Saccharomyces cerevisiae S288C: one gene and its partners. The gene in region 4 interacts genetically with the main gene of each other region. Each region holds a gene or a part of one and is shown on either strand. Other genes may lie near its edges. The genes, in order: ASA1, BUD6, BEM4 and PFY1.

Region 1 (4,932 bases), on a different chromosome or scaffold from region 4:
CCAATGCTAGGATGCCTGGCATGCCAAACATGCCGGGTATGCCAAACATGCCTGGTATGCCGAATATGCCTGGTATGCCAAAAGTGACTCCACAAATGATGCAGCAGGCACAACAAAAGCTGAAGCAAAATCCAGGTCTAATGCAAAATATGATGAACATGTTTGGTGGCGGAATGGGCGGAGGAATGGGCGGAGGAATGCCTGATATGAACGAAATGATGAAAATGATGCAAGATCCACAAATGCAACAAATGGCAAAACAATTCGGTATGGGCTAAAGGCCACCATTTGAATATACACAGTATATATATATATGTATGTATGCATATTTCAAATAACTTGTTTAGCTTTCATCCTTTCGAATACCTCCTTCAATAAAAAAAAAAAGAAAAATCTTGTTAAATTATAAAGTGTTCATTCTATTTTTTTGAATTGTAAAATAACAAAATAAATATTCGATTGAACTGCCATGGAAAAGGTTCTACCCTCTAACACGAGTACCCGTGCTTCTTGTTCCTATAATTTACTGTTTTATCACTTCATTATTTCTTTTCAACGCCCGGTAAGTTATCCAAAGACACTACACCATTAGCAATAAGCTGCGGATCCACAAGCTTGTCTCTATGCTCATAAAGTATCTTGTAACCAGATTTGATGGTACCTTCAGTAACTTGCAAGGTTTGGCCCACTTTCGCTGCGGTAATAGGGATCTGAAAGAGCAGGATGTTTAGATAGATGGAAACAACAGCGATAGTAATAGGGGATTTACCTGCAATTTCTTTGATCTCTTTACATTTCTTTGCGGTATATTCAGCAGAAGTAGTGACTTGCATCGGTAAGCCCAGATGCGAACAAAACCTGGGTATATAAGTTAGGTTTTGTGCACCACTCATATTATCGGTATCAATCTTCAAGAAACCATCTTCGCTCTTGCCTCTTAAAATGTTCTTCATTATGTTTAAAGTTTTACCAAACTCTTTAGTTTTGACATGGATTAATGACTGGATTTCTTTAAAAGTCCTTGCCACTTCAGCACGTCTGCAACCAATCAGTATGGATGCAGCCATTATACTCTCCATTGATTTCCCCTTCAAAGTTTTTTCATCGTGGCAAAGTTTATATGCTTCCTTGGCACAATCTTTCACAATCTTCGGTAATTCAGCAGCATCACATAGCATGGTAATCTTAGCAAATGCAGCTTGTACTTCATTATCCTTTTTATCCATCACATTTTTTCCTTGTGCCTTATTCAGTTCTTTGGTGAATCTCATATCCGTGGTTTCACCCTTTCCGATCCTTGTAGATAGGTTATTCCCATCTAAAAGAGGATTTGAAGCCTCACCAACACGACTTGGGTCATCACCGTTGTGATCATCATTTGAAAACGTTCTCCACTCCGACCTGGTGTCAACCAGTTTATCTGATAGTACTAGACCACATAGAGCACATACAACATCCCCTTCACTAAATCTTTCAACGATTTTTGGTGGGTAGACTTTGCACTCCGGACACGTCAGCACAATATTCAGATTAGGACCCCTTCTTCCTGCTCTTTTATCTATGCTCTCCCTAGTCATCATTCTGCGTATCTACTTCTCCCCTTCTCTATCACTGGATCGTCCACACCAGCGTCTATTAAGTTGTCTTTATAAGTGATGATTATTCTCTTCACTTTTTTTTAACTAAATTTATAACAAAATTTTTCGATTTTTAAGCAAATATTGAGACGAAACGGTGATGAGTAAGACAGAAATACAGAGATACTAAGCTATAAACTACTATTTAAGCACGTGCATAAATTGGGTGTGATGTGCAGTCAAGGCGAGCGTCGATTACAATGGGCGTAGAACACATGAGAGGCTTTAGTAATGAGATAATCCTGAAGAGAACGTTGACTTTATCCGATTTCACCTTACGTTACCATAAAAGGGGCATCACAGCTTTGCAGGTCATCAAAGCACCGTCAGTTTCGAATGTGCCAGTCTTGTTATCCGGTGATAACTACGGTTATTTCGTTATGTGGGACCTGGTGACCAAGAGACCGATTACACATATAGAAATCGAGGGCAACTCGCACATTATAGCGTTTTGGTGGGTGGAAACTACCAATGTGCTGTACATTCTTTCGAAAGACTCCATGCTGCGAATTTTTGAGCTTGATTCATCTACACAACTATCTATAGATTTAGTTAGAAAGCTTAGCCAAGCCAATAAAACGGATCATTTACAATGGACTAAAATCTATGAAATGCCCATAAACACACTGAATTTTGCGAATTTCATCATCGAAGCTGAAGTGAAACCAACCAAAGATAATAAAAGTTATAGATTGGTTTGCTGTCATACTGATGATTCGGAAACTATCGATATATATCAGATAATAGAAGACTCCACATTTAAATTGAAAAGACCATTCAATAATATTAATTTCCCCAGATTCTTGAAGCAGCAGAATTTTTTAGGAATTTCGAAAGACTCCAAATTCGGTATCATAATGAGATTTGCTAAATTAAACGATGTCATATTTTTAGGTTATGAAAATGGGTTTGTAGTCGGATTTAAAATTACTTTTGATGAAGGCCTTCAAAGGGACATTGCAGAACTGGTCCATGTTTCTAACGATCATTATCCGAATCCAATACTTGATATGTGTGTTAGCGGGGATGAACTTTATAGTTGTTCAACAGACGATTTCATAACCAAGTACAAAATTCCAGTGAACTTACAACTTGAGACGAAATACCTTAGAGATGATGCGCTTTTGATAAAATGCCCAAGCTCACTGAGAGTCAGTGAGCCATCAAAAGTACATCTTCCCTTGAAGAATATTGGTCATATTGATAAAGTAAAAGACGATTACTTAGTCGTGAGTAGTTGGTCAGGTATGACCATTGTTTATAATATGCGGACTTCAGAAGTGGAGCAAACTTTTGTGAAATCAAAGAACAACCTGGTCGTGAGTGATAGCTCTATGGGAGACCTAACAAACGGTAGCGGCTCAAATACCGAATCCAGCTCGAAATCCCATAACTATAAAGTGGGAGCCATGACATGTTTGGAATCGTTTGATGTGCAGTCAGATGGGTTGAGGTTAGGACAACTTAGACGTATTAAAGCGCTGGCGAAATGTAACTGGTGTTTAATTGGATATGAAGATGGTACCATAAAGCTCAATAAAATATAATTATTTTTTTTCCTTTTCTGTTTACATGGTTTCAGAAAGAACATTTGTATATATACATACGTGCCTATATATACATATTTCCTCAATCCAAGTAAAAAAAAGTGCGATGTATCATGGTCATAAGAATGTTAAAGGGAGTTCTTCCCTCTATCAATTATTTTATAATTTTCTTCAACATATTTTTGTTTAAGCCGGCATTGTTGTTTTTCTTCTTGTCATTCATTAAATGAGAGTTGTAAATTGAACTTGAATTACCACTACTACTACTTCCATTGGAATTAGAAACCAGTAGCTTCATCTTTTCTGATATTTCCTTTATTAGTAAGCTAACCGCCACATCGACATTTAAATCATCCATGCTGTCTATTCCAACAAATCCATATTTCCATTTTGTTGCTAGTTGTCTTCCCATTTCAATCAACATTGGGCTTGCGAGTTCATGATTAACGTGAGAACAGACGATAATGCATGGTGGTGGTGAATCGGGAGATGAGGGGTCTAACTCGATGGATTTTAGTTTGGTATTATAGGATCTCAATTGCTCTATTTTGGCGCTTTTCTCTTTGCTATTTTTACTCCATAGATGTCTCAGGCTGTAAACCAATGAGTAAATATCATCCTCTTTGCCTTCCTCCCATCTTTTTTCATAATTTCGAAATTCAGTCCAAGCATCTAGTATGCAGTTTCTAATCACTTTTAAAAGTTCAAATCCACCATCGCTGACGTTTTCCGTATCTGTGTTCATCACATCATCTCCATATTCCGGAGGGCCTCCAATATGGTTTAATTCAGGGACTGCGCTATACACCAAGATATAACCGTCAACTTTACCATTCAACTCAGAGGCACCAGAGGCAACCAATAGTGAAGTAGTAGATACAGGTCGTCTTGGTTCATCTGCTAGTCCATGTAGGATTGATTTTCCTAAATTTCGGAAGAGAGAAACTTCTAAGAACGGCACCACATTATCAGGACTGAAGCCAGGCGTATCAATAATATCAATCTGGATTGGTGCATAAGTGGGTGGAATGTAATTCAGGGGCAATTTAAAATGCTCGATAACGTTAAGCTGGTCTGCCTTGATTTTAGGAACACTTTGAGAGTTAATGTCATTGGAAAAAGTTTGATACAGCGGAGAATCAGATTTATCCAAAGATAGGGATCTCCTGGAGTGGCTTTTGTTGTGTAACCTCACTGATTGAAAATTATCAGTGGAAGCTTGAAACACCAATGGCGACAGCAGTACATTTTTGGAGACCTGAGGTGAAGGGAAGATAGGCTCTAAGGTTTGGCTGCTTGGGGAACGAAGGCAAAGTCTTTCGTGAGCTTGTTCGTCTAATATAGCTCTGGCCAGGATCGATGACGGAACAAAGCCGAAAAGCCAGTTAGTTTGGTTTCTTGTTGGATAATGAACCTCGTGGACGATATTAACAGTAAGCCTAGATACCAGGGAGGTCTTTCCGGTAGAAGTGCCCCCCAGAACGGCCAGCCGTATGGGTCTCTCTTCAGAAGCCTTCTCTGACATTTCTATAAAGCTCTATGATGGACGAGTCAAGAGAATAAAAGCTTGGCTGCGTCTTATTGAACTCTTGGGATAGGAAACAACGTACAGAGTTCTAAAAACACAACAGTTTATTGATAGTTAGTTTTGCATCGATGTTATTAGTGTTTTTCAACTGGTTCACTATTTTTCAGGCTTAAACTCGCTGCGATGGGATTAAAAAATAAAAGATGGATGTGAGTAGTAT
Region 2 (8,919 bases), on a different chromosome or scaffold from region 4:
CATCACTTGAAATACCAAGTTCCCTTCTTAGACTGATGAAGAGTTGATTATTTCTTAGCTCAGTCAAGCAATTTTTGTTAAGAAATTCGAGATATTTTGCCAAGAAATTTCTACTGATGTCCCCTTCATCGTAATGTTTTTTCGCCAGGGATAAGAAAACAGCTAATAGATCTTGATATGCATTTTTTTTCAATGCTTTAGAAAAAATATAAGCCAATCGCAGGAGTTCATTCTCATCGGAAACAGGTTTCAAATCTGCTACTATGATATGTGCCCTCTTCAACAGATTGGAAAGAAAGTGATAGAAAGCGTCATCTTTGGAAATGAGCAGCAAATCAGAAGCAATGGAATAAAGCGGTTTTTTCAGTAATTCAAAAGAGTCTGTATCACAGAAATCGATAATAAGGGAGTGAAATGCAAGCTGAAAGTGTAATGCAGCATCTAAGCCGTTATAGGTAAAGAAAGTCCACCAGGTAAATATACCAGAATCTACGAGGAATTTTCCGATCTGACAATAGCATTCTATCCATCTTTCATTTTCTTGAGCCTTGCTCTTTATAAACTGAAAAAGATAATTTTGCACCCAAGTTGGACCCAGCACATCTAAGCTCTTCAAATATACCTGTAATAATAAAAAAAAAGACGACTCGAATATATTTTCTTGAGACATGGCCACCAGTGAAGGATACAGAAATTTGAGCATACTCACGCTTTTTCTTTTCATTTTGGAGACTAAATTTGTGAATTCTTTCAAAAAATTTTCTGTTACTCCCGATATGGAAGGTTGTTGAAGTACTAGTTTATCAAATAATGACGCAATAAATTTTCCACTGAATGGATGATTTTTGATTCGACTGATTTCCAGGAATGAAAGGCTGGCCTGCATGATCAATGTTGTTATCGTCCTGACTGTGTTCTGTGTATGCAAGTTTAAATATTCCTTACTATATAACGGTCGTGTTAGCTCTTGGAAGCGCTTCTCTAAGTTTAAATCAAAACGTGTAGCTAGAACAATTAGTAGGTTGAGGCGGTTCTTCAAAACAGATAGAGAATCATTCATAGAAATATCACCCATCGGTATCACACGTTGTGTATCAGAACTAGACAATTCACACAACGTCAGTAGATGCAAATATCTGTTAAACATTAATCGACTCGTAAGCTGATTCGTTGGAGGATAAATTATCTTATTGTTTTGTGACAAATCAGACTCTTCTTCAAAGTCCGAAAATCTTCTCCGTTTGAATATGCGATCGAGAGAAAGAATCAAAGAATTTGTAACATTCCAATTACAAGTCTCAATGCAATAATTGATGAACCGAAATGCCGAACTCAAGGGTTGGAATTCAGAATCTAATCTCAAAACCTGCCAGCGGCAGACTTTCGTAGGAAATATGTTGACCAGCAACAGTGAAATATGAGGCGAAAAGGGGTGCTTTTGAAATAAATCCCACAAAGCTTCCTTTTTATGTATGACATCAACGACAGCAGAGAGAATATAATAACTTGTGTACAGATATTGCATTGGATTTTTCATAACAGAATCATAACAGACAGAAAGTAATTTGAAGAAAGACACAATATGATCTAAGAGTTTGACATCCATGTCGAATTTTGCAGCGGCTGAAATTTTGTTATATCTTGATATTTCTAGAAACATTAATTGGCATGCCGCAATTTGAAAAAAATGGATTGGTTTAGCTTTTTTCCTCAAGCTATTGACCTTCGATCTAAATTCACGATGAAATTCACCTATTAAGTCGAATAGTTCAGGCATGTCAAGGTGCACCAAAAAAGCAATAAGGCTTTCGTTAAAGTGAACTAGTTCAGTATCAGTGATACCTTTATCAATGATTACTCTGAATATTTTCTGTAATGATGTAGCTATATCTGCAGGATTCAATTTTGATAGCAAGAAACTCTTGTCTGACAACTGGATCTTGAAGAAATTAGGTGGCTCAAAAGGTTTTTTTAGTAAAATTGAGTCAAGTACGACCATTATTGGTCCAAGCTCTTGATTGGAGTCTTCTTCCTCAAATTCCATGTCATGATTAATGCTGTCCCTATTACGTACATTTGGCTTTGTGAAAGCGTATCGGTTCGTGGGAACCTCTACAACAGTATTGAAAACTGGTTTTCGTCTCGATTCAAGATCAGCGGAGAAACTTGAGTATATAGGTGCTTTCTTCTTCCTTCTTTTTTTCTGTGGCTTGAGAGAAGAGCTGTCATCCTGTTCTAGGGATTGAGATTCTAATTCTTCAAAAAAATAATCATCAATTACATGATTCTTCTTAGAAACAAATGAAACTGGATTATTAGCTGCCAAATGAGATTTATGCGCTGACCGTTTTCCGACTTTGATAGCTTTTGTACTTGGGGCCAGACAAGAATTTCGATATTTGTACTTATATCTTCTCACTCTCTTACTTTTTGTATTCAAAAAGTTGGCATCATTGGTTGCTTTAATTCTTTTAGGTTTAACCAACATCTTGTCAATTATACCATCGTTATGCTCTTCAGCAGCATCTAGGGAAATTACACTTTGATTATCTTCGGCAGATATATTGTATTGCTCACTAAATCCGCTATCTGAATGCCGTGAATTCAAATAAATAATAGGCTGGTCTTTATAAGACACATGTGATATGCAGCTCCCCGGTCCGTCATATTCCAGCTCATACACTGGTTCATTGCGGTATTCCTCATTTAAATTAAAACCAGAAGTTCCAGCCGATTGTGCGTCTTCACTATACTTGCTCTCATAATATTCTTGCAATTCCTTTAATTCCTTTTCGTTAGCCTCACGATCCTCTGGAAGATTTCCTAAGTATATATCTGGAGGGGCGTTTTCCTCGATATCCAGTTCGTCATCAGGTGCAATAAGATCGTTCAATAAGTTCTGTTCTTCATCTTCAATATGGGCGCTTCTGTTCATTTTCCTCTTAGCCACACCCTTATGGTTCAATAATTGAGTTTTTCTTTTCGTGACTTTTGAAGACTGCTGCTTTTGCAACGACTTTTCCCAAGCAACTCTTGGCAGGACCCCACGGTAACCAGTTCTTACATTCAATACTCTTCCTCTAAATATTACTTCGTCATTTTGAGTATTCTGTAAATTTGTACTAGCCAAGTCTTGTTCATCTTCCGTAGAATCACCTGATTGAAATACTATATCCTGGTCGAGGTCTTTAAAAGTACGATGCCTTTTCTTTGGTATTTCTTCATCACTATCATATCTTTGAGATTGAACCGAGCTGTTTTCGGGTTTAATGGAGTCGATTGTAACATCTTTCTGCTCATCTAAGGGTTTACCAGTTCTCTTTGTAAGTAAAATATCATTTGAGTGAATCACTGTAGAAGCGTTCTTCGGTAAGGTCAACTGATTCGAAATGCTGTCAAAACTAGAGATATCATAGCCCTCTAGCAACTGCCTATGCTTTATGCGTTCTAAACTGTATGGCATCTTTTGAATAGCCTTCCTCTTCCTCAAAGACCACCGAAGCCCCGTAGTAACTTGTGTATCAGTTACTACGGAAGGAGTACAAGATTCTCCAGCAGTGGAATCCAGGCTCAACCTCTCAGTGACAATTTTCTGTGATCTGCTTGCTTCTTGGACGTTTTCCTCTGCCCATAAATAATTTTCATTGAATTCGGGTTCGTATATGATACTAATTTCCTCATCAGTGGCCTCAGAATCTGATATCACAATAGGATTCGGTTCATCAACATCCATAAGCTTATCTGCTGACGCTACCACTAAACTTCAAATCTACAATCCTATCTTTTATTCTTTCACTTCTTGAATTTAATTTTACACGCAGATGCGCTTTACTCTTTGAAGATATCTCGCTAGCCGAGCTGAACGAATTTTATCCTACTATTATGCATTCTTGAGATAATGGCATCAAAACAAACCCAAGAAAAGGGAAAAAGAGTAGAAGCTGGCTGCCAAATTGGTGTAGTAATCCTCGTATTATTTTAAAATTAGATGAAGATGGCCGTGGATGACCCTACGTATGGCACCCCAAAGATTAAAAGAACTGCTTCTAGCAGTAGTAGTATTGAAACGACAGTAACAAAGTTGCTGATGTCCACCAAGCACCTCCTCCAGGTCTTAACACAATGGTCTAAGGGGACAACCTCTGGAAGATTAGTATCTGATGCATACGTTCAGTTGGGCAATGACTTCAAAGTCGTATCGAAATTCTTCATGCATGCGAAAGTTGACATGTCAGATGTTGGTGATGTGCCAATGGCTTTAAGACGTGTATTGGAAGTGACATTGAGGGAACCACCATCTGATGAAACTTTAAATAAACATCTGCCAAAAATCAGAGAGATTATAGTGACACTTTTAGACAAACTAAAGGTTAAACAAGCAATTTTGAAGAATATGCAGCAAGAGCATCGGATAAGTGTAAAATCACATCATCAACAAAACCCTTCCTTTACTAGTAACCTTTCATTGGGTAGTGAAGGGACCCGTGAGGGGACTCCATTAAGTAGCAGAAAAAGCAGTATTGTACGTGATCAGAGGCAAAGCGATTCAGTCGAAAACAGCTATGGGGAAAAAGTGAATTCTACTTCTACGGGAACACCCTCTGCTCAGTCAGCAGAGGCAACATTGACAAAACCAAGAACTAATATTAAACAAAACCTTAAATCTAACAATGCTCCAAACGCATCTGATGATGATGATGCACTTTCACAATTGAAGAAGGGAACTAATTTACAAAGGAGAGCCTCAAAGAGATACTCTGCCTACCATATGGCTAAATTGACAAATCAGTCTACAACAGAAGCTGCTGCGGCTGCCGGCCTCATGACAACTCCTTCACCCTCGATGTTGCATCTAGAGGAAACCGTAAGAAAGTCAAAGTTATACGGAAATAACAACAATGATGATGATAGAAACATTAATTCAGCTGAAAATAAGGGTAAAAGCATTGACGATGTATCAAAGGCGAGTCCATTGGCGAAAACGCCATTGCCTATTGAGAATGTTCGTGCATCTCCACGAAGATTATCAAGCGTTGTTACAACTTCGCCAGATAAAGCCATGAATGGAACTTGTCCAGTATTTTTAAGGATAGGAGACAAAACAAAGAAGTGTCATGTGCAACTGCCTACTACAAAAAACGCATTAAGGCTCCTATTTATTGAGCGCTTTGCGTATTCTCCTGGAGCAAATTCCTTCCCAGACATATATATTATGGATCCTCAATATGGAGTATTCTATGAATTAGAGGAACTAAATCTTCTCGATATTAAAGAAGGGTTTGTTATCGAGCTAAAGCTCGAAGAGAATCCAAATAATACGATCAAGGAATTCATTGACACAGTTAAGATGGAGATATCGAATAGTCAGAATGATATAATAAGACATTTAAAAGAAATGAGTTTTGGTTCTGCAATTAGCGGCAAGCAAACGGAAGTTTTACCACAACCTGGCCTTGAAGCTAACAAACACGATCTTGTGGGGCAAAACAAAAAAGATGATGATAAAACGATCAAAGATATTCAGTACGAATTGGGGAAAATAAAACAAGTGCATAATATTAATAGGTCAAATATTAATGAGACTATTTTCAACATTTTACGAAAGGTCGATAACTTTAAGTCTTTATCATTTTCTGCCAAAAACTCTTCCAACAGAATGTACATGGAAAAATCACAGACCGAACTCGGTGATTTATCCGATACTCTGCTAAGTAAAGTAGATGATTTGCAAGATGTAATCGAAATTATGAGGAAAGACGTTGCTGAGCGTAGGTCTCAGCCCGCTAAAAAGAAGCTAGAAACCGTATCCAAGGATTTAGAAAATGCCCAAGCAGATGTACTTAAACTACAGGAGTTTATTGATACTGAAAAACCACATTGGAAAAAAACTTGGGAAGCTGAGCTCGATAAGGTCTGTGAAGAACAACAGTTTCTCACGTTGCAGGAAGAGTTGATTTTAGATTTGAAGGAAGACTTGGGTAAGGCATTAGAAACTTTCGATCTTATTAAGTTATGTTGTGAAGAACAAGAAAAAAACCCTTCGAGATCAAAAAGTAATCCTATTTTGCCTATTATGAGACCGGGCACATTTAATCAGGTAAGGGAGCAAGTTATGGTGGCCGTCCAATCTTTAAACCCTGACCACGATAGTAGGGTCGAAGCTATTGACAAGGCTGAGAAGATGTGGGAGATGGAAAGAAAACTTAAAGCTAGTAATGAATTTGATGATGAACTGGAAAATTTTGTGGGTAATTCAAACCTGAAAAAATCGGGAGGCTTTGAAGAAGTAGAAAGGATAAGAAAGCAGAAGGATGAAGCAAATTTGAGAGCATATTTTGGGCCGGGGTTTACTTAAATACACTAATTTTATGAAAGCTAACGGAAAAGAGATTAGTGCTTTTGGCTTATTACAAAGTTTGCGGCAATATTTTCCTTATCAGCATCATAAGCTGTCAGTATTTCATGTATTATTAGTACTAATTAACTATATGTATATATATATATATATATGCTTGCAAGTGTTGAATTTCCTTTCTCAAAAGAATGATATTATCTTTAAATTTTGATGTGTTTGAAGATAGGCTTTCCAAAAATCCATTCAATATGGTGAATCGTACCTCATACTCGATTAAAGGATCACATTTCGTAATTGGACAACCGCTGACTGTCATTTCAATGATGCGTTGTAAGAACGAATGAAATTGCATATTTTGCGTAACATTAATTGATAGATCCTTAAAAGCAGATTTATAACATTCCGAAATGTTCTTTACAACATGATCAATTTGCATGAGAACGGTGTTTGTTGAATTTAAATTTGTGTCAATTGTTTTATAAGAGATTCTAGTGTTAAACAGCGCTATTAAACTTCGAAATATCCCTTTACTAGATTTCGAACGGATATGGAAATTATTCATTGTGCTTGAATGTTTCCAAACTTCCAATTCTTTAACAAATATGTGCATTGCACAAAATTGAATAACCGTATCATCATCTGATTGGGAGCTTACGGCTAAAATTTTGTCTCTATTGGCTTTCGCATTATATTTTTGAAATCCGCCCATGGCAAGCTTTTTGATATTGATCACTTGCTGTTGGTCTGTTGATATTATAAGGAAATCGTCAGCCAGTTTTAAAATTAATGTGTCCTGGCTAGGACTGGCTTTAAACTCGCTATAAAACTCCAGAAGATCGTCATACACCAAATCAACGATCGGAGCAGATAAACTAGAGCCCTGAAAAAGACCATCTTCTCTAATGTAGCACTTATCTTCAACCCACAAAGCTGTTTTAAATATTTCCATCTCTACAACGTTTATAACATCCTGATTTGATAAATGAACCGTCCTCACATTATCTATGTATAGCTCATAAGGTTTTGGTACTCTGCTAGCGTTAACAACATTAAATAACTTCAATACACCTGTATTGGTATTGAAGAAATATTGAGATCTAACGAAAAACCCATTTTCATTTTTTAGCGCATCCTTGAGTATCCTCATACATTCCATCCTTGGTATGGAATCATAGCAAGATTTGACATCAAATTTCATGAAATAAAGCTCTGGTAAGACATTATTAAATTTCTTTAAAAGTCTCTGCTTAAATTCTTTGATACGGTCAGCTATTTGCGTTGGAGAATATATTTTAGTAAAACTAGTCGGCCTTTTGTTTCTTAGGTATTCTAAAATTTTTTGAGTGGGCTGGATAGCATTTTTGTGATTCTCCTTATAAATTGTGAATTCTTCTTCGTCTGCCCCTCTGCATGGGATGGCAATAATCCTGAACTCATTATTACTTTTTTTTGGTATAATCCTCATTTTGCTATGATTGAAATTGGACAACGTGTAACTATTATGGTTTCTACATACGTTGTTTTCGACTAAGTACGTCTTAAAATATTCTACGATAAAAGGGGTGATAAGTTTATTCCAAGTATCATGTCTAAAGTAAACAATTGTCACTGTAGAAGATATTTCGGTGCAGTAAAAAAAAGTCTGTATAATTTTGGGAATTAGTTGTCTAAATAGCCAGGAAATGAAACAAATCGCCAATTGATTCAAGTTTTCAAAATTGTGCTTGGTGAACCAAATATCAGAAATGAACAACCACCGAAAATCCTTTAATCTTAACTTTTTCAACAAACTATCAAATGGTAAATAGCCATTTAAGGGTAAACTTAATAAAAGATTTAGATTCTTGATAATTTTTCCTTTATTTTTCTTTGAGCCAAACATTTCTTGGGGTAATAACTTCTGTAAAATAACAATGATAAATTTCAAGACTCGTTCCTTTGGTGATTGCCTACTCAAATGCGACAAGTCCAATACGGTCCCTTCCAATGGTGGGCAAATACTATTCAAAATAGAAACGTAATTCAAACGCTTATGTCTCTTTAATAGCTTTTGCAGCGTCAAATTAATTCGTACCTTTAGTCTCTGAGGAATTTTAACCAAATTTGTGGGAAAAATAGCTTCTCTCAAGTCAGTTAGCTTTTTGATAGATGATGATGAAGGAAGGATCTTGCTATAAGGAAAAAAAGAAGAGGAATTTATATTGAGCTTGTGTAAGAATTGTTTATTTGTCACTGGTTCTGTAAGTTGTTTGATTTGCGCAGCAGTTGCGGATGATGAGGATGATCGTTGAGCCCATTTGGGCGGCAGATGAGGTTCGTTACATCTGTTACCCACGATTTGAGTGAAAAACTGCCCATTAAATTGAATTACTGTATAATTGATCAATAAATCAACGAATGCGTATGTACCGACCAAACTGTGGAACATTTTCCAAGCAGCGCCTTTCAGTAACGTAACGTTAACATTTGCAGAATGGCAAAAAAGACTATTGTTGACATCTTCATTTCTAGCTATTTTATAGCCAAATGTTAGTACGTTGTTGTATAATTCGCCCGTCAACAGG
Region 3 (8,562 bases), on a different chromosome or scaffold from region 4:
TCTCTAACCGCTGATGCTAGCGATACCGTGCATGCCTGAGATTTAAGTCTTTCAGAAACATCAGAATCTAATTTCCTAATATGCTGGCTCATTTTCTTTTTGAGTTGACGAGTTCACGTTCATTCTTCCTTGAAAGCCTCGCTGGTTTATGTATCGGTGGTTGAAATCATCATTCGATGTTTATTGCAAACTATTGATCTTTTTTTCCTGCCCCTTCTCGTGGCGCTCGCAAATAAACGCAAACTAAATATAAGCGTACAAACAGACAGATTTTGTGCTACTTATTGATTATTTAGAAAAGCTACTATTGTTCTTGAAAGTCATAATAGAACTACTTATATATGTATCAATGGGGTTGAATTTGCGCTTTATGTATTTTTTAAGGAATGATATGAAAGTTGTCTCTAGTCTATTTATTGAATCGTAAATCAAAAAATACTAGTGATCCCATATAGGATAACTAGTAAAGGTTTCGTTAAAAGTAGCTTTTTTTCTCGATTCAACGTCACGCATTAAATGTGGGTACCGTTGTTAGCAGAACCTGTAACATTACTAGCATCGGCAGTTATAGTAACGTATTTAACAACAGGCTCCGCCGTAGTAGTAACCACTTCGGTAACTGCAGCAGCTGTAACTGTAACATACTTGGTAGACGCACTACAGTACTGTTCATCGGCGGATGTGGTTTGAATCATCTGAGATTGATGTTCAGCAGAGACTAACTTTTCTAAGGCATCAACATTGGAGGCGGCGTCCCCAGCTGTGGATGTCGCTATTGTATTACTAGCTTGGGAATTATATACAGTAACCAATAAGGTTGAGGTCAAAGTAGAGGTGTATGTACTGCCCGATTCGGTTACTGTAGAAGCAATTTCTGTGACGCTCGTGGAAATCTGTTCAGCCTTCTCGTTGGCGGATTCCGTAGATAGAGTTATTATGTAAGTAGAGGTCAGAGTAGACGTGTAGGTGGTGTCTGTGTCAGAATAGGTGGTGGTGTATTCATTTGTGGACGTAGTTAGGCTAGGCGTGCTTGCAGTAGGTGTACTTGCAGTAGGTGTACTAATAATAGCAGCTGATTGGGAGGTAGTGAACCAGTAGGTAGAGTAAAAAGTAGATGTTATGTAGAAGGTGGTTGTTTCATCGCTGTACGTTAATGTTGTCTCTTGAGGTGAAACAGAGTATGTTGGAGTTAATGTCTTCGTGTATGGTGTATAGCTCGTAGTTTCATTGACATATAAGGCAGAAGCGAAGTTGGAGGTTACCAGTAGTAAACTACACAATATTTTGAAAATCATTGCGATATATATTCTAATTTGTTGGTTGTGTTAGACAACTAGTGTACAAGAAAGAGACTAGATGGCCATAACGGATCTTGATAATTCATTTTCTTACGTCTTTTAAATACACTCCCTCTCCATCACATACAGATTGATTTAATGTCTACCTCTTCTAAGCCATCTGAAATTCTTGGGTCTTTCTCTGTTTACGGTTATTTGAAACACGAAATTACTTAAGAACACGAAATGCCAATTATTAGCGTCGCGAATTGAATATCCAATGCGGCGGGAAAATCAAAAAACGAAAATAGAATAGGAAAAACTGCCGTAGTTATAGAATCAAACCTGAGCGCCAGTTTCATTCTTCTAGCGGAGAATGCTTTCCCAAACAATAACCCACAGATTATGTGTTGAAGAGTCTAGGCTTGTGGAAATTGAAATCAAAATGTTTGTTCCCTTTAAAAAAAATCAATTAAGCAAGGAAAGGAAATAAACAGTGCATGCTTTCCTTATCCTTGGAATACTATATTATGCTACCATAGCTGGAAATGTTGTTATCCTTGTTAGGCACTTCATTTGAGACTTCCGATAAATCAGGAATTTCGTCATTTAGGAATGTGTTCGTTTCAAAATTCTCTGCATTGGTTATCGTTAGGCTCTCAGAATGTAACCTGATGACATTGTCGACACAAAAGTACTGGAAGCAATTCAGTAAGATAGGAAAGACAAACATGACCAGAAAAACTTGAAAGTTTGGCCATGAATCTGACCAGCCAAGGATAAGATCGGCGAACCAGTATGCCAAGTCTTCTAAGTAGTTTAGTATTAGAAACACGCAGAACTTCATCACGCCCAGCCCAACAATGAATATAAGCAGCTGTTTCACGAAGGCAGAGAATAAGGGTTTTCTGGGGTGGCTCCCAACGGTTTTAGATGGAAAATAATTACCACTTTCAATGTTTTGGAAGTGTAAGGATTTTAGCACTTTTTCAATTATGTATAAGCACAACCAAAGAATGGGAATCCCAACAGTAGTATCCAGGAGTAAGTTAAGAAAATACCAATCGCATTGATCCTCATCATCATTGCCTTTTGCAGTGATTGCGAAGAGTGACCTTCGTCTTTTCTTCAGTATGCTGATGCCTAGATTCAAAAAATGGATTCCAAGAGAGCCGATGATTTGTTTTCCAATGTCATAACTCCACACAATCATTTTTCTCCTTGGATGCTCATAGTTTCTTTTCACCAATAACACAATCACGGCTGTCATACCCATCAATGTCTGGACAAAAAGAGACACGGGCCCCAACAACTGGCAAGTGTCTTTCCCATTAGAAACATACATATTCTTTTCGATTAATTGGCAGTTCTGCTGAACTTGTGTGACTGTTGGGCCTCCTGCTAATATGTATTAGAACTTTTTCTGCTTAGTACATTCAAGTACTTTTGTGCAGATGTTCGCATCTGCAATAAACTTTTAATCTCCCTTCCACTCTCATCGTCTACAAACCCATACACCATTTGTCAAGCACATGCTTAATCCAACAATATTCAAGATTTAATATTTATATATATATATATATATATACATGCAGAGGGAACGTTTTCTCCCCTCGTAGGTAAGGCGATTACGTGTCTAAAAGAACGATTTTGCAAGCGCTTCTAAATTTTGTTCCTCTGGCGTTAAGCATTTCGTATTTTTCACAATGTTTAGTATTATGCCCGCTATAAATTTCCCATTGTTGAAACAACTCTCGCTACCCTTATCTTTATTTTCTTTAAATGAAAGTATGGTCTCTAATATCAGGGTTAACTTTTGAATGTAATCCTTGAATAGTATATTTTCAATCGGATTCACGTCAGCTGTTACACTTGAATCTTTTAAATAAATTCCAACCGTTTTTGTGATATGAAATAAATCTGAGATGCTTAGTTGTTCTGCTTGACCTAAATTTTGGAATTTGAAGATCGAATCCCATAGGGATGTAATAGCTTCTTTAGGAAGGGCTTTCTTGGACACAAGCAGCTTATCCATCGCAATACAGGACGTTAACGTTCCATGCTCTGCTATAAAAGAGATAATTGTTGGATCACTGCTTATTGAATTGTGTATTTTTGAACTTGGAAGCACCGTTAAAGTTTTGTTTAATAAATTTGTTAATAACGATCTCAGGTTGTTATAATATTTAGTTTGCTCGTGACATCTTCTCATAATCTGAAATAGGGTGAAGAGGTCCTTGATATCTAGCCACATGGTATTTTCCAGATTTAACAGCTTCCTCAGTAAATCTAGGAATCCTTGATATTGTAGTGGGTCTTGTAGCAAGCTACCAACTTGAATCAATTCACTAAGAGATATGAGCTTCAGTAGCGCGACAGCGTCACTTTTGGATGCAACTGAGTTACATAATATCATCAAAGCTGCGGCTAGGGCATAACTACTTGCGGAACTCTTAATAGTTTCGATACATAATGATTGCTCTCGTTTGTTAGAGTTTGTTAGGTTGGCGGAGATGTTGCCTGCGCACGATATGAGTCTTCTCATTACAATTAGCTTATTATTGAAGGTTTTTGATTCTAAGCAAACTAAGGACAATATTAAATTTTTTTGCATGCTTAGCACAAGCTGCTCCTCATTGGTAAAGTTTATAGTTTCATCCTTGGCTACAATAGTTTCAAGACATGTTGACAGATTTAATAGCAATTCACAATTAACGTCCTCCTCATCATCTTCTTCCTCTTTTTCGATGTACTCTTGATTTCCTTGGCCAGCGAACTTCTGAGTTTCAGTATTTGAATATGCTTCGACTGCTCCATCTTCCATTGCCTGCAATTCTTTATTTTGCACATTTGAAGAGATTTTTTTGATGTACTGGCTTAAGAAAAAGAGATCGCTTATTTGAACATTTGAGTAATTGACTTTTAAAATATCGTTCAATAAATCTGAACCTAAAACAACTTTTTCGGGAGATGACAAATAGCTATATTGTGTGGTTTTCAACAAAACAAATAATGGACCTCTAATGAAGGGAGCCAAATTTTCTGTATACTTGAGATTTCCAATGCAAAAATTCCTTAGTAGCACAACTGACCGCATCTGTAATTTATCCACTAAGCTATCCTCACTCTTGTCAGAAGAAATTTCGTCCAGCTGAAGAACCCCGCCTATATAATAATTAAGAAGCTTTTTACCTCCAGAATCCAAGAGAATTTCCCGATTATCATCATTATCAATTATTGCGTTAGCGATACATCTAATCACTTCAGAACTGATCTCATAAAACGCTATTTTATCATTAATTGAAATGCTCGTATCATGAAAGCAGATATCAAGCGCTTGTTCTAATACTCTTACTAGGTTCAGTAGCAGCCCAGTTTTACCAACAATATCTCTATTACTTGGTTCTCTCAACGAAACAGCCAATTGGTCCATTACCGCTAGGTAGCTTCCTAAGTAGACATCGTTCATCGGAACATCCTTTATTGAAGACGCATTGAGGATCGGTTGCAGACCAAATAAAATTTCTTCGTAATCCATTTAGTAGGACAGTTATTTTCACTTGAAACCACAATCTTTTGGGGCTGAAATATAGATGAGGTGATTTGTTATTCGCGGTTAGTTTTAGTTCGCGAGTGACCTGCTTACGTTGTCTTCAGCCATTTTACGTTGCTTGGCTTGCCGCCGGCGGGTAATATGATCTTATTTTGACATGGTTAAAGAAAAATACTTTTGACTAAGTACCTTTATCACAAGAAAGTTTAGGAAGGGATTCACTATTTGAAGATCAGACAAATGAGTATACGATATTGGCTCAATATTTTAGCCGAGTTTGCTTAAACTTAGTGGCAGAACTTTAGTCATGGGAAGACAAGAACGATCTTACGAGGCCCTTAGGACCTCGGCGGCTAACAGTAAAACTGGTAACTGACGGACAAGGAATATCAAGGTCATATTTTGAAAAGGTCTTTTTGGGTGACTACTTGGGTAAGAAATAATTAGACGAAGTTTCTTTCTGATGTGTATTGAACTAGTGCTCGTGCTTACATACACATCGCCCATTATTGCCTATAGTTATCCTCACTTTATACGAGGTCTGGCCGTTAACGGTTCTTTTACATTGAAAAACTAAATCAGTCACCCACGCAAATAATGAAAAAAAAAAAAAAATCAAAAGCGAAAAGAAACCTAACGCATATTCTATTCAAACGTTGAATGATTGTATTATTATAAATCATAATCACGTAAAGCCACCGAAATTTTTTTCCAGAGTGAAGAATATAAAAAAAATATCTTTAACCAGTCTATAATGTCTTCTGGTTTGGTCTTAGAAAACACGGCACGTAGAGATGCGTTAATCGCCATCGAAAAGAAGTACCAAAAAATATGGGCTGAAGAGCACCAATTTGAAATCGATGCGCCATCAATCGAAGATGAGCCCATTACAATGGACTCTGAAGAGTTACATCGCACGTATCCTAAATTCATGTCGTCTATGGCCTATCCTTATATGAACGGTGTTATGCACGCCGGCCATTGTTTTACTCTCTCCAAAGTCGAATTTTCTATTGGTTTTGAAAGGATGAACGGTAAAAGAGCTTTGTTTCCATTGGGTTTTCACTGTACAGGTATGCCAATCTTAGCATGTGCCGATAAACTAAAGAGGGAAGCCGAACTTTTTGGCAAGAACTTCGACAATGTACCAGCAGAAGAAGAAGAAATTAAAGAAGAAACGCCGGCTGAGAAAGACCACGAGGATGTTACCAAATTCAAAGCTAAAAAATCTAAAGCCGCAGCCAAGAAGGGCCGTGGTAAGTACCAATTCGAAATCATGTTACAGCTTGGTATCCCTAGAGAAGAAATCATTAAGTTCGCCGACGCCAAGTACTGGTTGACCTATTTCCCACCTTTGTGTGAAAGTGATTGTACTTCACTTGGGGCTCGTATCGATTGGAGACGTTCTTTTGTCACCACTGATGCCAATCCTTATTACGATGCCTTTATTAGATGGCAAATGAACAAGTTAAAGGCTGCTGGTAAAATCAAATTCGGTGAACGTTATACTATTTACTCTGAAAAAGATGGTCAAGCTTGTATGGATCACGATAGACAATCCGGTGAAGGTGTTACACCACAAGAATATATTGGTGTGAAAATTGAAGCTTTAGAGTTCGCCGATGATGCCGCAAAAATCATTGATTCAAGCTCAGATCTTGACAAATCCAAAAAATTCTACTTTGTCGCTGCCACGTTGAGACCGGAAACTATGTATGGACAAACATGTTGTTTTGTTTCTCCAACAATTGAGTATGGTATATTTGACGCTGGTGATTCTTATTTTATCACTACTGAACGTGCATTCAAGAACATGTCTTACCAAAAGCTAACACCAAAGAGAGGCTTCTACAAGCCGATAGTTACTGTCCCAGGTAAGGCATTTATCGGTACCAAGATTCATGCCCCACAATCTGTATATCCAGAACTAAGAATATTGCCTATGGAAACTGTCATTGCTACCAAGGGTACTGGTGTCGTCACGTGTGTACCATCTAATTCACCAGATGACTACATTACCACCAAGGACTTGTTGCACAAACCTGAATACTACGGCATTAAACCTGAATGGATTGACCATGAAATTGTTCCAATTATGCATACCGAAAAGTATGGTGATTTAACTGCAAAGGCTATTGTTGAAGAAAAAAAAATTCAATCTCCAAAGGATAAGAACTTGTTAGCAGAAGCCAAGAAAATTGCTTACAAGGAAGATTACTACACTGGTACCATGATATATGGTCCTTATAAAGGTGAGAAGGTCGAACAAGCCAAAAACAAGGTTAAGGCTGATATGATTGCCGCCGGTGAAGCTTTCGTCTACAACGAACCAGAATCTCAGGTCATGTCACGTTCTGGTGATGACTGTATCGTTTCTTTGGAAGATCAATGGTACGTTGATTACGGTGAAGAAAGTTGGAAGAAACAAGCAATTGAATGTTTGGAAGGGATGCAATTATTTGCTCCTGAGGTAAAAAACGCATTTGAAGGTGTTTTGGATTGGTTGAAAAACTGGGCTGTTTGCCGTACATACGGGTTAGGTACCAGATTGCCTTGGGATGAAAAATACTTAGTTGAGTCTTTATCAGACTCTACTATTTATCAATCATTTTATACCATTGCTCACTTACTATTTAAGGATTATTATGGTAACGAAATTGGACCATTAGGCATTTCAGCTGATCAAATGACAGATGAGGTTTTCGATTACATTTTCCAACATCAGGATGATGTCAAGAACACCAATATTCCTTTGCCTGCTTTACAAAAGTTGAGAAGGGAATTTGAGTATTTCTACCCATTAGACGTCTCAATTTCCGGGAAGGATTTGATCCCTAACCATTTAACTTTCTTCATTTACACACATGTTGCATTATTCCCAAAGAAATTCTGGCCTAAAGGTATCAGAGCTAACGGTCATTTGATGTTAAACAATTCTAAAATGTCGAAATCTACAGGTAATTTTATGACTTTAGAACAAACGGTTGAAAAGTTCGGTGCTGATGCAGCTCGTATTGCGTTTGCCGATGCGGGAGATACTGTTGAAGATGCAAATTTTGACGAATCTAACGCTAATGCTGCTATTCTGAGATTATTCAATTTGAAGGAGTGGGCAGAAGAAATTACCAAGGAATCTAACTTGAGAACTGGGGAAATTACAGATTTCTTTGATATCGCGTTTGAACACGAAATGAATGCTCTGATTGAAAAGACTTATGAACAGTATGCATTGACTAATTATAAGAATGCCTTGAAATACGGTCTTTTTGATTTCCAAGCTGCTAGGGATTACTATCGTGAAGCTAGTGGTGTAATGCATAAAGATTTAATTGCACGTTATATTGAAACACAAGCCTTATTGCTGGCTCCAATTGCGCCTCATTTCGCTGAGTATATTTACCGTGAAGTTCTAGGTAACCAAACCTCTGTACAAAATGCCAAATTTCCACGTGCATCCAAACCAGTAGATAAGGGTGTTCTGGCTGCTTTGGATTACTTGAGAAATCTACAGAGAAGCATAAGAGAAGGCGAAGGGCAAGCACTAAAAAAGAAGAAGGGCAAGTCTGCTGAAATCGATGCATCCAAACCTGTTAAGTTGACTTTATTGATCTCTGAATCATTTCCAGAATGGCAATCACAATGCGTGGAAATCGTCCGTAAACTATTCAGCGAACAGACTTTAGACGATAACAAAAAGGTCAGAGAGCATATTGAGCCTAAAGAAATGAAGAG
Region 4 (6,737 bases):
CAATGAGGTCTTTGCAAGCAAAGGTGTTCAAATGGATGGCGCCTTCGATTTTAGTTGTTAGCGGAATGAGGATAACAAATTCTGAAGAATACGCAGCTGAGAAGAATCCAAGATACCGCCATTTTCTTGAAGAATTTCCTAAATTGAAAGAGTCAGATCAAATGATGGATGCATCGCATTTGAATAAAAGGAAAACTACTTTCGCTGTGTACATAGACGATCCGTGGAAAGTAACAAATAAAGATTATTTTGGCGATCTGAATACGAGAATAATAGAAATATCACCCAGGCAGGATATTTATAAAGTCAACCAAAAAGGCACGATCTATTTCAATACAATTGGTGGCGGAATTGGAATCGGGGATAAACAACCATTAATAAAACCAGCATCCAAGAGATACATACCAGGGAACGTGTCGCTTACTTTTGACAGCACATTAGAATTTGCTGTGTTTAGAAATACTGGTTACGGAGGTTCATTAGACCCTGGTTTATTGTCGATGGAAAGAAAGGAGGAAAATTCCCCTTATGAATTGCATTTTTTGATTCAAGATGTTGAGGTATGGGGCTGTGGTGGTGAGAAAGAACTAGAAGAGCAAATCAAACAGTTGGAATGGGAAGAAGCAGAATCTAAAAGAAGACAGCAAATTAACCTGAGAAGCTTGGGAGAAGACCGTGCCTTACTGGAAATGGCAGGTTTAGTTGGCCAACATCAAGGTGGCGGTTCAATGTGATGCCTGCCTTTTTTGCTGTTTTTAGTTATTGGGATTGATTTCACTAAAAATCAAGACCACTAAATAAGGCTATTGTTTATTTTAATATTTATTGCACTTGTATGAAAAGTACCAAACTTTTGATACTGATATTACACTTTTAGTCTTGAACTTTCTTCGTTAAATTGCTGACCTACTTTCTGTTCTTCGACTCCAAACAACGATTCCCAAATGTATTTTCACAGGGCCGCATTATTTCTTTGATTTCGTTTTTTTCACCAATTTTTTCTTGATGTGCTTCTTGACTTTTGTTTTCCTTTTTTCTCTTTTTGCATCTTTAGCTTCCTGCTTGCGCAATTTTTTTAAATCCTTGTCCTCATGTTTCTTCCCCTTTAAAACTTTTGGTTCATCATCGTCATAGTACTCGCCCTCCTCCTCGTCATCTTCTTCAGATCCGCTTGAGCCGTCTTCTTCATCATCTGAGAATTCCTCTGTGCCAGAACTACATTCGTGGTCAGCGTTATCAAATTCAAATTGCTCAGAAGCAGCAAAATTGCGTTCATTATCATGGGCAATCAAGCTTTTCAGTAAGTCAAACTTACCATCAGTATACCTATCAAAATCTCTTTCCTCTAATCCACCCAATGATCTAACTAAATGCAGCGATCTGAATATTTCATCTTCTGCCTCATCTTGTTCTGTAGATTTTATTGGTAGATTACTAGCAATGTATGCAACCAAGGCGCTAATATTGTTATAATCACCTTTAAATTTCTCCAAAGTTTCTGATATGACAAATTGAAAAATAACCCTTTCAGGGAAAATACTTATACCCATCTTCTCGAAATAAAGGTTAACGTTTTTGATATCCATCCTTAAAAAATCTAAACTCATTGGATGTTCAGGTTCCACACTTTGGGAAACATCGATCATATATAGTTTATCATCATGAACTATGGTGTTATACTCTGACAAATCGGCATGAACCAGGCGACAAACTTGGTACAGCAATCTCATATATGCCACCATTGTGTGATAATAATGGAAAATTTCATCACGATTCTTGTACGGATAATCTTTTAATTTAGGTGAGGCAAATCCATTACCTCGGCTTAAAAATTCCATAACTAAGACGTTGTTCTTAACTTCTATTGGCTTAGGAGCTGGAATGACGCCACTTTGATAAATTCTTTTCAGGTTCCTAAATTCCTTTTCAGCCCAAATTTTAATCATTTTCCTTGGATTATGTTGAGATCTGGAATTTCTAAATCTAAATTCACCATCAACATATCTTTCACGATCTTTGAAGACTAGGATAGAGGTCTTATAAATCTTAATGGCATATTCTGCACGGGATCCGTCTGTCTCTAAAACTTCATACTGGCCTGTTTCCTCATCTATTACGGGTGCCTTACCGGTACCTGCAAAAGCGTGGTAAACATTAGCTTCTTTCCCAGTACTTAAGCAACCGTTCAAATCTGCAATCACACCTCTGGTGACCATAGACTTCAAAAATCTCATAGTTCTCGGATCTAAGACATTTTCCACAGTCGCCCTATTTGCTTTATCCTTTGATGTTTTCGCTCTGCTGAATGATAATTCATCAGTTTTTATTTTGTGACTATACTTCTCTAAGAGCTGATTATTAATATGGTCCGAGGCACCTTGCGACACAGACAATGAATCAAATTTATCTTCCAAGGACATGACCTTCTAAAAATAACGGAGTTTGAATCTCTAAATCTGTTTTAACTTCTTTTTACTATTATTTTTAGTCTTAGTATCTCATCTCATCTCAATTTCTATATTCCACTATAAAATTTTTCACTCTTTCTGCGCGCGCCAATGTCCCCGCAACTACTCAATAGGTAACATGAGAATATTTCAGTTCGTAAGAGAGAAGAGATGAAGTTATTTGGGCTCTTTGCTCGAGGTTACAGAAGGGCCGCATTAGAGTGAATGAGCTGATGATATTTCGCCCAGTTCTACATTTTTTTTTTTTTGGAAGTATGACCTCTGTTAAATTTTTTTTTTTTTAAATTTCACTTTCTAAAGTCCCAGAAATCCGCTTGAATGTCTTACATATTGCAATGGATATGCTTGGGTGATCATACTTCCTGGCTTTAGATATTTGAAACTTAACTCTTGTCAACAAACTTCCTATGGAGTGTATAAGAATTGTAAGTTATAACACCGGCGAACAATCGGGGCAGACTATTCCGGGGAAGAACAAGGAAGGGCGGTCTTTTCTCCCTCATTGTCATAGCAAGGTCATTTCGCCTTCTCAGAAAGGGGTAGAATCAATCTAGCACGCAGATTGCAAACACGGCTTAATAATATGCCTATCAGGCATTCACCCGTGTGACGAATCGCACACCGCTGCTCTCCTTAATTCCCTAGAGTAGAAACCGAGCTTTCAGGAAAAGACTACGGCAGTAAAGAATTGCTTTACTGGGCGTATAAAACCGGGAGAATCAAGACATTCTAATGACTTGATTCAGGATGAGAGCTTAATAGGTGCATCTTAGCAAGCTAAAATTTGGACAGCTCTCATTACTAAATTAAGATAGAAAAATGCCTGCTACTTTACATGATTCTACGAAAATCCTTTCTCTAAATACTGGAGCCCAAATCCCTCAAATAGGTTTAGGTACGTGGCAGTCGAAAGAGAACGATGCTTATAAGGCTGTTTTAACCGCTTTGAAAGATGGCTACCGACACATTGATACTGCTGCTATTTACCGTAATGAAGACCAAGTCGGTCAAGCCATCAAGGATTCAGGTGTTCCTCGGGAAGAAATCTTTGTTACTACAAAGTTATGGTGTACACAACACCACGAACCTGAAGTAGCGCTGGATCAATCACTAAAGAGGTTAGGATTGGACTACGTAGACTTATATTTGATGCATTGGCCTGCCAGATTAGATCCAGCCTACATCAAAAATGAAGACATCTTGAGTGTGCCAACAAAGAAGGATGGTTCTCGTGCAGTGGATATCACCAATTGGAATTTCATCAAAACCTGGGAATTAATGCAGGAACTACCAAAGACTGGTAAAACTAAGGCCGTTGGAGTCTCCAACTTTTCTATAAATAACCTGAAAGATCTATTAGCATCTCAAGGTAATAAGCTTACGCCAGCTGCTAACCAAGTCGAAATACATCCATTACTACCTCAAGACGAATTGATTAATTTTTGTAAAAGTAAAGGCATTGTGGTTGAAGCTTATTCTCCGTTAGGTAGTACCGATGCTCCACTATTGAAGGAACCGGTTATCCTTGAAATTGCGAAGAAAAATAACGTTCAACCCGGACACGTTGTTATTAGCTGGCACGTCCAAAGAGGTTATGTTGTCTTGCCAAAATCTGTGAATCCCGATCGAATCAAAACGAACAGGAAAATATTTACTTTGTCTACTGAGGACTTTGAAGCTATCAATAACATATCGAAGGAAAAGGGCGAAAAAAGGGTTGTACATCCAAATTGGTCTCCTTTCGAAGTATTCAAGTAATTGTTTTTGCGTGTTTCTCGTATGATTGTAATATGTAGATAAATTAAACATAAGTATATCAAATGTCGATATTCTTAAGACTGTTTCGTAAATATGTTAAATACCGGATGTGACTACATATAAAAAGTGCGCCTTTTACAGTGATAATTAGCGTCAATCAATAAAATATTTGTAAAATAGGAAGCGAAATCCCGCAGATGCCAGAATAGGTGGTGTATAAGGCAAGAAAACTTTACCTGCATAAATTAGTATTGAACACCAATCAAGTAGTCAGCCAATTGCTCGACAATCTTGGTGGCCTCACCGGCTTGTACGGTTGGTGGATAATGAGCAATAATAACGGTTTGCTTAGTTCTTACACAAACAACACCCTCAGCATCATGTCTACCGTAGATACTTCTATCGTCAGCTCTCAACAACATGAACTTTTGGCCTTGAATATGCAAACCATTGCTTTGCAAACCAGCTGGATTGTCGAAGCCTTGAACAATTTCACCAATTTCGTTTGGTTGCAAAGATAGGCCACCAGAAGTAGCCCAAACAGCGTCACCTGCTCTCGAGTAGATGACAGCTTTGTCGACTTTACCGGTTCCTATTAAGTTATCAGTGTATGCTGTTTAAAAGTAGGAGAAAAAAACGGAAAGAAATTCATGTTTGAAATTTCATATGTTTTTTGATATTCCAGTTAGTAATTTACTCTGAGTGGTTAATCTTCGAAATTACGCGCATCAACAAAAATCGGGCATTGCCAAACATTGTCACACAAGCTAACCTCCGACTCATTTCTTTCTTAATCAATTGATAATTGTCTCGTTCACATACCTTGCCAAGACATAATTTGCGATCGTAGTTGGGTTTATGTTGTGTATGTAATTTATCTTTTCTCAAGGATCACACAGTTGTTTTAAGAAGGGAATGAGAAAGGGTCAACTGAGCTTTAAAAAGAAAAAAAATATTAATGCGGGTAATGAGTTTCGTACAAAGACATTTCATGGCGTGTTCTCGCCAAAAATCATGGTAAAACCTCCCACACAGTAACCTCATACTAAATACTACAACATGTCATCACTCCATTTCTTTGCGATTGTACATACTAATATATATAAACAAAGTAACGTCTCCTCTAATCCTCGTCTTCGTCGTCCTCGATGACCGCAACCCTTCTTCTTTTTGTCTCGCTCCTATCTTTTTCTTCTTCTTCCTCTTCTCTGTACATTGCTGCTCCTTCTCTTTTTAAATTTCTTAGACGAGAGGCGTTCTCTTCATCCGCGTCCTCTTCTTCTTCTTCTTCCTCATTATCATCCTCTTCGTCGTCAAACGCAGCCTCCTCTTCCTCATCGTCGTCGACTAAAAAGTCATCTTCTTCATATTCATTTCTTCTCGAGGCTCCATAGGTAGTGGGTGAATTTTGCTTTCTAAATCCCGTCTCAAAAGCGGCATCTGGGGATTCTTGTTTCTCCTTTTCTTTGAGCTGTCTTCTCCTTCTGTCTCTTAAAATCTGGCTTTGCTTTCTCTCTAACTCCTTCTTTTCCACTTCAGGATCCATACTTACAATGTATGTTCCAGGACCCTTGCTTTGTCTTTGGTTCCTTCTTATAACAGCTTTACTTAGTTTTTGATGTATTTTTGAATTCGTCGAAGTTGGAATAAACATCAACGTCTTTTTTATTTCACCCCCTTCGTAACACTGGATCAACTCTTGTTGGTCATGCGATACTGTCAAAAAAGTGTTGCTCGTATCGTTGACCAATATATCTGTACACTCTTCACCAACTTTTAGCGAATATGTACCGTCTGACCACTGCACTATTTGTGTATTTGATTCTTTAAAGACATGTTGGTCTTTGTCACGAGAGTATCTCCATCTAACAGTGTTTTCATCAATCAGGCGGTCGTCCAGTTGATCCTCCCTAGAAGCTGAATTGCTTGCCCTTTCGTTTACTTTGGCCTCAAAACTTGGAGGGTCGAAAGGAATTGGATCGATAGTTAAAAAGTTGGGAATTCTAGCATAGAAAATTTCGTTGTGAGACGCCGTTTCATTCACATTAGCTTTACTTGGAATAATATGTCTGACAAGCTCTACATTTTCCTCTTTAAAAGTGTGAGTAGTCTCATCTTGATCAGAAAAGTTATTAGCATCCTCACCATAAAATTTTCGGGTGTACATGGCTTGCTCCTCTGCTTCATCATCATCTAACCCGAGACTTTCTCTATGACGACTTCTATGGTTGATATTCTCTCCCTCGTCGTCTTCATCACTATCACTATCACTTTTTTCAGTCTCCGATTTTTTAACATCATCATCATCATCGTCATCATTGTCATCTCCAAATAAATCATCTAGTTCTGCGTCTTCTTCTTGTTCCTCTTCTTTAGTATCATCATTTCCATTGACTTCCTTGACATTATCATCTTGAGAGCGGCTTGTTTCCTCATTGCTTGTACTATTGGTGGTAACGCCGACGTTATTGCTGATTTGCTCCTTCTGTGGTTGATCCTGTGGGCTTTCAG

What was found.
Region 1: mutations in PFY1 (region 4) and ASA1 together harm fitness more than expected from each alone (negative genetic interaction), as found in Saccharomyces cerevisiae (2 studies listed by BioGRID).
Region 2: mutations in PFY1 (region 4) and BUD6 are lethal when combined (synthetic lethality), as found in Saccharomyces cerevisiae (3 studies listed by BioGRID, with this or other methods).
Region 3: mutations in PFY1 (region 4) and BEM4 impair growth when combined (synthetic growth defect), as found in Saccharomyces cerevisiae (2 studies listed by BioGRID, with this or other methods).

Annotation. Positions count from the first base shown.
Region 1 is NC_001148.4:706,749-711,680, reverse strand, and holds ASA1 (Asa1p), read left to right. Parts: upstream 1-1,852; coding exon 1,853-3,184; downstream 3,185-4,932. Other genes in the region: RNA-binding signal recognition particle subunit SRP54, read left to right, coding at 1-278; transcription factor SUA7, read right to left, coding at 543-1,580; YPR084W (uncharacterized protein), read right to left, coding at 3,339-4,709. UniProt on the Saccharomyces cerevisiae protein: Component of the ASTRA complex involved in chromatin remodeling.
Region 2 is NC_001144.5:766,754-775,672, reverse strand, and holds BUD6 (formin-mediated actin nucleation enhancer), read left to right. Parts: upstream 1-3,988; coding exon 3,989-6,355; downstream 6,356-8,919. Other genes in the region: MMS22 (Mms22p), read right to left, coding at 1-3,733; EST2 (telomerase reverse transcriptase), read right to left, coding at 6,477-8,919.
Region 3 is NC_001148.4:241,406-249,967, forward strand, and holds BEM4 (Bem4p), read right to left. Parts: upstream 4,816-8,562; coding exon 2,914-4,815; downstream 1-2,913. Other genes in the region: mismatch repair protein MLH3, read right to left, coding at 1-92; SVS1 (Svs1p), read right to left, coding at 513-1,295; YPL162C (uncharacterized protein), read right to left, coding at 1,801-2,622; leucine--tRNA ligase CDC60, read left to right, coding at 5,585-8,562. UniProt on the Saccharomyces cerevisiae protein: Probably acts as a GEF (guanine nucleotide exchange factor) for the Rho family of small GTP-binding proteins (G proteins) that stimulates the dissociation of GDP to enable subsequent binding of GTP.
Region 4 is NC_001147.6:547,827-554,563, forward strand, and holds PFY1 (profilin), read right to left. Parts: upstream 5,062-6,737; coding exon 5,049-5,061; intron 4,840-5,048; coding exon 4,472-4,839; downstream 1-4,471. Other genes in the region: RTC5 (Rtc5p), read left to right, coding at 1-734; protein kinase RIO1, read right to left, coding at 966-2,420; glycerol 2-dehydrogenase (NADP(+)) GCY1, read left to right, coding at 3,288-4,226; Paf1-complex subunit LEO1, read right to left, coding at 5,350-6,737. UniProt on the Saccharomyces cerevisiae protein: Binds to actin and affects the structure of the cytoskeleton. At high concentrations, profilin prevents the polymerization of actin, whereas it enhances it at low concentrations. By binding to PIP2, it inhibits the formation of IP3 and DG.